2 linked regions of the Nothobranchius furzeri genome follow. The protein of the gene in region 1 binds, or shares a complex with, the protein of each later gene. Links are inferred from orthologs where the notes say so. Each region holds a gene or a part of one and is shown in the gene's direction. Other genes may lie near its edges.

The links.
Region 2: the proteins of kiaa0895l (region 1) and tubulin alpha-1B chain are in contact, whole or in part, in a cryo-EM structure (PDB 7Z6S), measured with the Homo sapiens proteins. The link is inferred for Nothobranchius furzeri from reciprocal best matches to the Homo sapiens genes MATCAP1 and TUBA1B. Residues at the interface, in NP_001035805.1 of Homo sapiens: Lys219, Cys220, Trp223, Val226, Arg227, Gly237, Glu238, Val239, Val240, Val241, Gln242, Leu243, Met253, Met254, Val255, Glu256, Asn257, Ser258, Arg259, Pro260, Thr261; in NP_006073.2 of Homo sapiens: Asp345, Trp346, Arg422, Glu423, Ala426, Ala427, Glu429, Lys430, Asp431, Glu433, Glu434, Val435, Gly436, Val437, Asp438, Ser439, Val440, Glu441.

Annotation. Positions count from the first base shown.
Region 1 is NC_091749.1:31,557,458-31,560,745, forward strand, and holds the end of kiaa0895l (microtubule-associated tyrosine carboxypeptidase 1), read left to right. Parts: coding exon 1-218; intron 219-552; coding exon 553-650; intron 651-725; coding exon 726-887; 3' UTR 888-2,585; downstream 2,586-3,288. UniProt on the Homo sapiens protein: Tyrosine carboxypeptidase that removes the C-terminal tyrosine residue of alpha-tubulin, thereby regulating microtubule dynamics and function. Also able to remove the C-terminal phenylalanine residue of alpha-tubulin TUBA8.
Region 2 is NC_091755.1:36,643,863-36,648,109, forward strand, and holds tubulin alpha-1B chain, read left to right. Parts: upstream 1-1,292; 5' UTR 1,293-1,449; coding exon 1,450-1,452; intron 1,453-2,339; coding exon 2,340-2,562; intron 2,563-2,682; coding exon 2,683-2,831; intron 2,832-2,906; coding exon 2,907-3,887; 3' UTR 3,888-4,053; downstream 4,054-4,247. UniProt on the Homo sapiens protein: Tubulin is the major constituent of microtubules, protein filaments consisting of alpha- and beta-tubulin heterodimers. Microtubules grow by the addition of GTP-tubulin dimers to the microtubule end, where a stabilizing cap forms.

The DNA of each region.
Region 1 (3,288 bases):
TCCCACGGAGGAGGGCCTGGCCAGTCTGCACAGCGTACTGCTGAGAAAGCAGCCATATCTGTGGCGTGCTGCGCTGCTCTACTACACGGTGTTCCACGCCTCCAGCATGAGCTTCAGCCAGCTCTTCAGCCACATTGCATGCTTCGTTGAGAATCCGGACGTCCGCTGGGAATACTGTCTGCGTGCCAAGAGGGGACAAACGGACACATCGCAGCCCGGTCAGTACACATAAATACTCCTGTCTCCGTGAAACTTTTGTTTCTTAATCTACGAAGATTCAGGCAAAAAATACACCTGATTGTACAGAAAACATAAGGTGTAGAAATAATTCTGCAGGTTATTTATTTAAATGATGAAAACTCCAGCAGAAGTGAGGTAAGAGTCTGATGGAGTACAGCCGCCCTGCTGCTGATGTGGCTGACTCTCATCACTAAGGCTCTGCTCACACATGCTGCCAACGTGTTCTGATCACAAGTGGAGAGCAGAACCACTGCAGTGGGTTTAGACCGAAGCTGCTCTATGTCACTTTAATAAAGTATATTTTTGTTTTAGGCTGCTTCAGCAAAGATCAGGTTTATCTGGACGGGATCCTGCGGCTCCTTCGGCATCGAAGGACCGTCGACTTCAAGTTATTGACCTCTTTAGGAAAGGTGAAGTGTGTACCCCTATCTGCCCATCAGTTTTCTACATTTCCACAGGACCTGAACTCTTCTTCACCTCTGCAGGTGTCCTATGAAGATGTGGAGAGACTGCGTCATCTGGCGGTGCTGTCCCGGACCAGAACCCCACACTTCATGCGTGACCAGGTGCGGTACCTGCAGCACCTGGACCATATCGTCGCCGTGAATGAGCTGGATGACTCTGCGCTGGAGCAGCTTCTTCCCTAAGCGGCGCCTCGGTTCTTACCTTCAGTATTATCAGCGCTTTATTAGAGCGTAAAACTTGAATGACACCACCAAAAGGGACACACACACACACACTAAGGCCTCGATCTACGTCCTCACTTCTGTCCCATGCATGTTTGTGTAGCTTCTATCACAGATTAATGCAGTTAAACACCCCTTCCCCCATAACGTTACCTCAATATTATCTCTGTGTAACCAACGTGACACACGTAACTCACATATTCACAGTCACGCTTTATTTATGCAGTTATTTATTTTTATTTGCAAGAACAAACTGAATGTCTCTGGTTTCAGCTTTATATCTTGTTTTTTTAGATAATGTTTTTATGGCTTAGATTGTTTGCATCTTTAAAAAAGGACACCAAGGACACAATAAATCCAGGGGAAGCTGTAGCTGAGGCCATGAATCTTTAAAAATATCAAGTGCCAGTGGACTCAGAACCAGATATCAATGTTTCCGACGTTAATCAGCAGTGTTGTCTTAACAGTGTCCTTGGTGGACTTTTATGGGCCATTCCCATCTGTACCGGGTCGGCCCGGGCCGGGTAGCGTAGGTTGTTTACATATCTGGGTGGCCTGGTATTTTTCCGGGCCAACCAAGGCTCATTCTCAACCCTCTTCTCGAGGGAGTCTGCTTCAGGCCGACCAGGGCCAACACACCCACTGCTGACAGCCCATTCACACCTTCCATTAGAGCAAGCCTCTGATTGGTGGGTAGAATCAGCCCATTCACACCTTCCATTAGAGCAAGCCTCTGATTGGTGGGTAGAATCAGCCCATTCACACCTTCCATTAGAGCAAGCCTCTGATTGGTGGGTAGAATCAGCCCACATGGGCTTAAGACAAGGATGTGTGGAATCAACCGGGCCAGGCTGGGGCCGACTGGGGCTACCCGGCCCGGGCCGACCCGGTACAGATGGGAATGGCCCACTAGTCCCTCTATGCTACTGTGATAGGACCCTTCCTGGAGCTCACCCAAGGCGCCATAGCCACTCGGGAACAGTTCAGCATTTGGGTTTTAATCAGCTTCTTTGTGAGTCTCGTGTCATATGTAGCTGAACAAGTGTGAGCTTCAGACTGACATGTAAAAAATATGAATTTCTTTAAAAGCATACCCAAAAAACTGATTTTACTTTTCTGGCTTTATTCCTTTATTTTAGATATTTAAGCCTTTAGATGGTTTTAAACAGATTTTAGAATCTGAATGTTCAGTCTTATTGGTCTCCTGGCAGCGGCTGAATGTTTAACACACAAATCAAAGTGAGATGGCACATCTGGAGGAGCGGTACCTGCCTACATGCTGAACTGTGCCTCTGTTAGCTAAAGTGCTTCAGCAGTATCTTTGTTTTAATATTTAAGAGCCAGGTTGGCTGACTTAGACACTGGGTGGTGCCTTCGATGGGTCTCTGCTCATCTGTGGTGTAACTGCTGCTTTTTGTTGTTTCACACAACAATTGAGCGTCAAAATTAAAGCATGATTTGATGAGATTATTTAGGTTTACCGAGACTCGCTCTGCTGTTTACAGGTTCAGTCAGAGCAGAACTGTCTCTGAGCACTTTGACCCGGATCCTCCTAAACAAATGCAGCTGTTTGGAGCTCATGAACGTTGCACAAGTGTTTTAATGTTCTGGAAAACATCTTGAATTTCTACTTTATTTATTAAAGTGAACACACCTACACTTAATGAGTGCCGTGGTCTGTGTTGTGACTCAGCACTTTCTTCTTTATGAATGGTGACCAAACGTCTTCTACTACCATGGACCGGTTTTTGCATTAAAATTTAGAGCTGATTTTTGCTTCTTTTTTTTTTTTTAAATAAGTGTTTAAAAGTCAATGTTCCTCAGATTTCTTCCACATGGTGACAAAGCTCCTGTTACACCTGCAGACTGACTCAGCTCAGTCTAGCCTCATGAGGGTGGAGCTAAATAAGGGTATTAACCAGTAGTAAACATGAATCAGACCTGACCCACTAAGTTTAACTAAGAAAACCAACAATGATCTTTGAAATATTTGGATTTTAGTCATAACTTGAAAAGTTTAGTAAAAGCTTCTAAACAAGTAAAAACAACACATGCCTTTAAATAAAAACGGTTTATTCTCTTTCAATATAGCTTTTGTTCTATCGATAGCAGAAAAGCGCCTCCACGTCACTCAGTGCTAAAACCTGGAACTGGATCTCCGGTCGCCGTAATGACGGACGAATGTCTTTACAGCAATCACAAGTCTTGATACTGATCCAACAACAGTCCCTTAGCTTGTGTTAAAACAGGTGCGGGGGGTTCAGACCTGATGTCTGAACGGATCTGTTTGTGACTCGGACCAAGCAGCGCAGATTCCCAGGGTTCTGATGGGAGGAGTTTAGTCCAATCATGATTGCGTGTG
Region 2 (4,247 bases), on another chromosome or scaffold:
TTCAGTACAAATACAAATAAATGTCACTAAAGGGTGGCTGGACTCACTCGTAGGTCATATGTGATCTAGGCCCTTTATTCCTCCTGTAAAGAAGCAATATTCTTCTTCTGAAATGTTTTCACTCAAGGAAAAAGCAAATATGTCATCAGATGTTAAACAAAGGTTAAGTGAGTTAATTGGTTTTTTTTTTTATTCCCCTTTACTCCTTGAGTCCGGCTCATCTGATGCAGAAACTCATCCGTGGCAGATGGAGAATGTGATAGCTGGGTATCACATTCTCCCTTTGGAAGGATGCAATGCAGTCAGTTTTGTGCCATGGAGGACCACTCCCTTCAGCATTCCCATCCTCCTCTCTCTTATTGAGCAGCTGCTCAGACACTCCCTGCCTCACAGCTGTTGTTGGCAGGAAGAGGAGGAGGAGCAGGAGAACGTTTCTGGCAGCCATTACTGTTTCCTGTCCTGTCTTCCATCCTCGACTATTCCTGCTTTCTGTGACGTGTCCTTGCCGAATTGTTCAATGACTGACAAGAAATTCTACATAAAACTCAGCAGCTTTGATCCAATCCCACTATTTTCCAGCAATAGCTTCCTGATACTTCATCCCTGACAGGAATCAAGTCAATGTCTTTCACTCTGATGCTTGAAACAGGCCAGCAGGCTGCACCCACAGACATACATGTTATGGATGCACCCAGCCTCTGTTCTGCTGAACAGCAGAGGCTGCAGATCACGTGATCGGCCCACTCGATGACATCATTGCAGAGAATCTGGGACAAAGCGGGAGGAGAGCTGGCACGAAGATGAACGTCAAGGAAGCTCCCTGCAGCATGGACACTGGGACACAGCAGCTGGAGATGGAAGCTTCTGGAACAGAGTTTGCTCCTCCCACTTTAGCGTAAAACGTCATCCACCTCCTTCATTTGGGAGGTGATGTGGGGAAAATGCCACACCCAAGTGGTTGTGGATGCTGTGATGGATGCCCAATAAACCTGCTTTGTTTGAACTCCGTTTTTACATATTTTCAGCTGATCAAAAATAATAATTATATATGTTACCGATATGAATAAAATATAAGTTACAAAAATAAATGTATTGCAAATAACACGTTTTGAAACATTGAGGCTATTTCAGATTGTGTCTGCATGTTTTCTCCCTACGTGAAACCAGATATTTCTAATCACACCAGCATGCAAACGAACTGCAGAGATAAATAAATGCTTATCTGAGGAAATGTGCGCAGCCTGACCAAACGGCGGCAGTAGAAGAGCCCTTTTCCCTCTGTCCTCACAGCAAACCCCTGCCTGCCTGCCTGTATAAAACCAGCCTGCACCGCCCTCCCGTTCAGCAGTTGTTGCATCGACCCCGTTGGGTACAACAAGCAACGCAAACACCCCGTTTTTACAAACACCCTTTTCTTCTCCTCTTCCTCTCCGAACCTCCGGCGGAAACATGGTGAGTTGATTTAAGAACAAATCCAATCCACCGGGTAGATTTTCATTTTAATTCAGCTATTAGACGACGGGTTGCTGAATTTCGGAGAGGTTTTGGATGAATAATCAGCTCTCTGCAACGTGTTTTATTGATGTTTGATGTGAAATACGAATACTGGATTTTTGCGGCTGACGCACAGATTGATCCGCAGTCGCACAATGTGAGTTTCATTGTGAAGTGGTGAGAACAATGAGCTGGCTGGCGTAGAAAAGGCACGGAGAGAACAAGCCATCCTCTTTATTATAGAAGGTCAGAATTATTACACTTTTTATTTGTGTAAATGTTAATTGTCAAAGGTGAACAAATAAATCAGACTTAATTCTGGGCGGGGCTGGACGGAGAAATTTCATCCATCATTTTTTATTCATGAGAATTTTGATTCAAACAAAAAAAACGGAAAATATATTTGATTCAGATATGAACAAAACCGAAAACCCCATTTATTTTCAGCTACTTAATACTTTTTCTCTGATGTGTAATTAGCTGGCATGAAGGAGCAGTCATTTTATTTAGCATCTTCAAGGAAAACGTTGGGATATTCCAATTTGACTGAATGCACGCGCCTGTGCGCAAGCGACTGAATTTGCATGTTTGGCTATCTTTGCATAAGAGAAAGGAGATGAGATAAAATAGACAAAAGCAGATTGAAAAGACTGGAGGAAGCCGGTGTGTGCAGCCTCTGTGGGGGCTGCTGTCAGGTTTTTCTGTCCCCCGTGAATTGTGGTGCAGGGAGGAGCCTCCTCCGGCTGCAGTGACTGCTCTGACAGACAGGGGGAGCTGCTAAATATTCTCAGTTGATACAAAGGTGATGTTAAAAACTGACTCATTTCTTCTTTGCTTCTATCCAGCGTGAGTGCATCTCCATCCATGTAGGTCAGGCTGGTGTCCAGATTGGCAACGCCTGCTGGGAGCTCTACTGTCTGGAGCATGGAATCCAGCCGGACGGGCAGATGCCCAGTGACAAGACTCTAGGAGGTGGAGATGACTCCTTCAACACATTCTTCAGTGAGACTGGAGCTGGGAAGCACGTCCCCAGAGCAGTTTTCGTAGATTTGGAGCCTACTGTCATTGGTAAGGGTTAGGCTTGGGTTAAGCACTAATCCTTGTAACCCAAACTGGCTGAACATGAGATTTTGTAAATTATACACAAATAATTTCAAATGAAAACTAAAAGTTTCCCTTTGCCTCCAGATGAGGTGCGTACTGGAACCTACCGCCAGCTGTTCCACCCTGAGCAGCTGATCACGGGTAAGGAGGATGCTGCCAATAACTACGCTCGTGGACACTACACCATTGGCAAAGAGATCATCGACCTGGTCTTGGACAGGATCCGCAAACTGGTGAGTAAAGTCATATTTTTACACTTAGTCTGTAATAAATCTGATAAATGACTCATTTGTTTTCTGTGTCCTCAGGCGGACCAGTGCACCGGTCTTCAGGGCTTCCTGGTCTTCCACAGCTTTGGTGGAGGTACCGGCTCTGGTTTCACCTCCCTGCTGATGGAGCGTCTGTCTGTGGACTACGGCAAGAAGTCCAAGCTGGAGTTCTCCATCTACCCAGCTCCCCAGGTGTCCACTGCTGTGGTGGAGCCCTACAACTCCATCCTGACCACCCACACCACCTTGGAGCACTCTGACTGTGCCTTCATGGTGGACAATGAGGCCATCTACGACATCTGCCGTAGAAACCTAGACATCGAGCGTCCCACCTACACCAACCTGAACAGGTTGATCAGTCAGATTGTGTCCTCCATCACTGCGTCTCTCCGCTTTGATGGTGCCCTGAATGTTGATCTGACAGAGTTCCAGACCAACCTGGTGCCGTATCCCCGTATCCACTTCCCTCTGGCTACCTATGCTCCTGTCATCTCAGCTGAGAAGGCTTACCACGAGCAGCTTTCAGTTGCTGAGATCACCAACGCCTGCTTCGAGCCAGCCAATCAGATGGTGAAATGTGACCCCCGCCACGGCAAGTACATGGCCTGCTGCCTTCTGTTCCGTGGTGATGTGGTGCCCAAAGATGTCAATGCTGCCATCGCCACCATCAAAACCAAACGCACCATCCAGTTTGTGGACTGGTGTCCCACTGGTTTCAAGGTTGGCATCAACTACCAGCCTCCCACTGTGGTTCCTGGTGGAGATCTGGCCAAGGTCCAGAGGGCTGTTTGCATGCTGAGCAACACCACTGCTATTGCAGAGGCCTGGGCTCGTCTGGACCACAAGTTTGATCTGATGTACGCTAAGCGTGCTTTTGTGCACTGGTATGTTGGTGAGGGGATGGAGGAGGGAGAGTTCTCTGAGGCCAGGGAGGACATGGCAGCTCTAGAGAAGGATTACGAGGAGGTTGGAGTCGACTCCATTGAGGGTGAGGGAGAGGAGGAGGGAGAGGAGTACTAAAGGGAACATAGAGAAATTGGTTCAACATGAAATAATTGATAGCAATGATTTATTGAATGCATTCAAAAAATTGTTCTTCAATTCACGTCTTTGTTTGGCTGATGATAAAAAAACTCCTGAACCCGTCAAAATGTTTTTGTTCACAATAAAACCTCTGTGATGTGAAGTTGTTTGTCCCTTTTTCCAACATCAATAATCTTTTCCCCATAAAAGGTTAAAAAAAAGCTAAGAAACCACCTTTTCCTAGTGACTAATAGGCCAACTGCTAACAGCTAGCATCTAAAACCATCTATAATCCCACAAAAATGTCACTTTGGTTCATGCAAAATTAGTTTTATATACTGTTACAGTTTTAAGTCT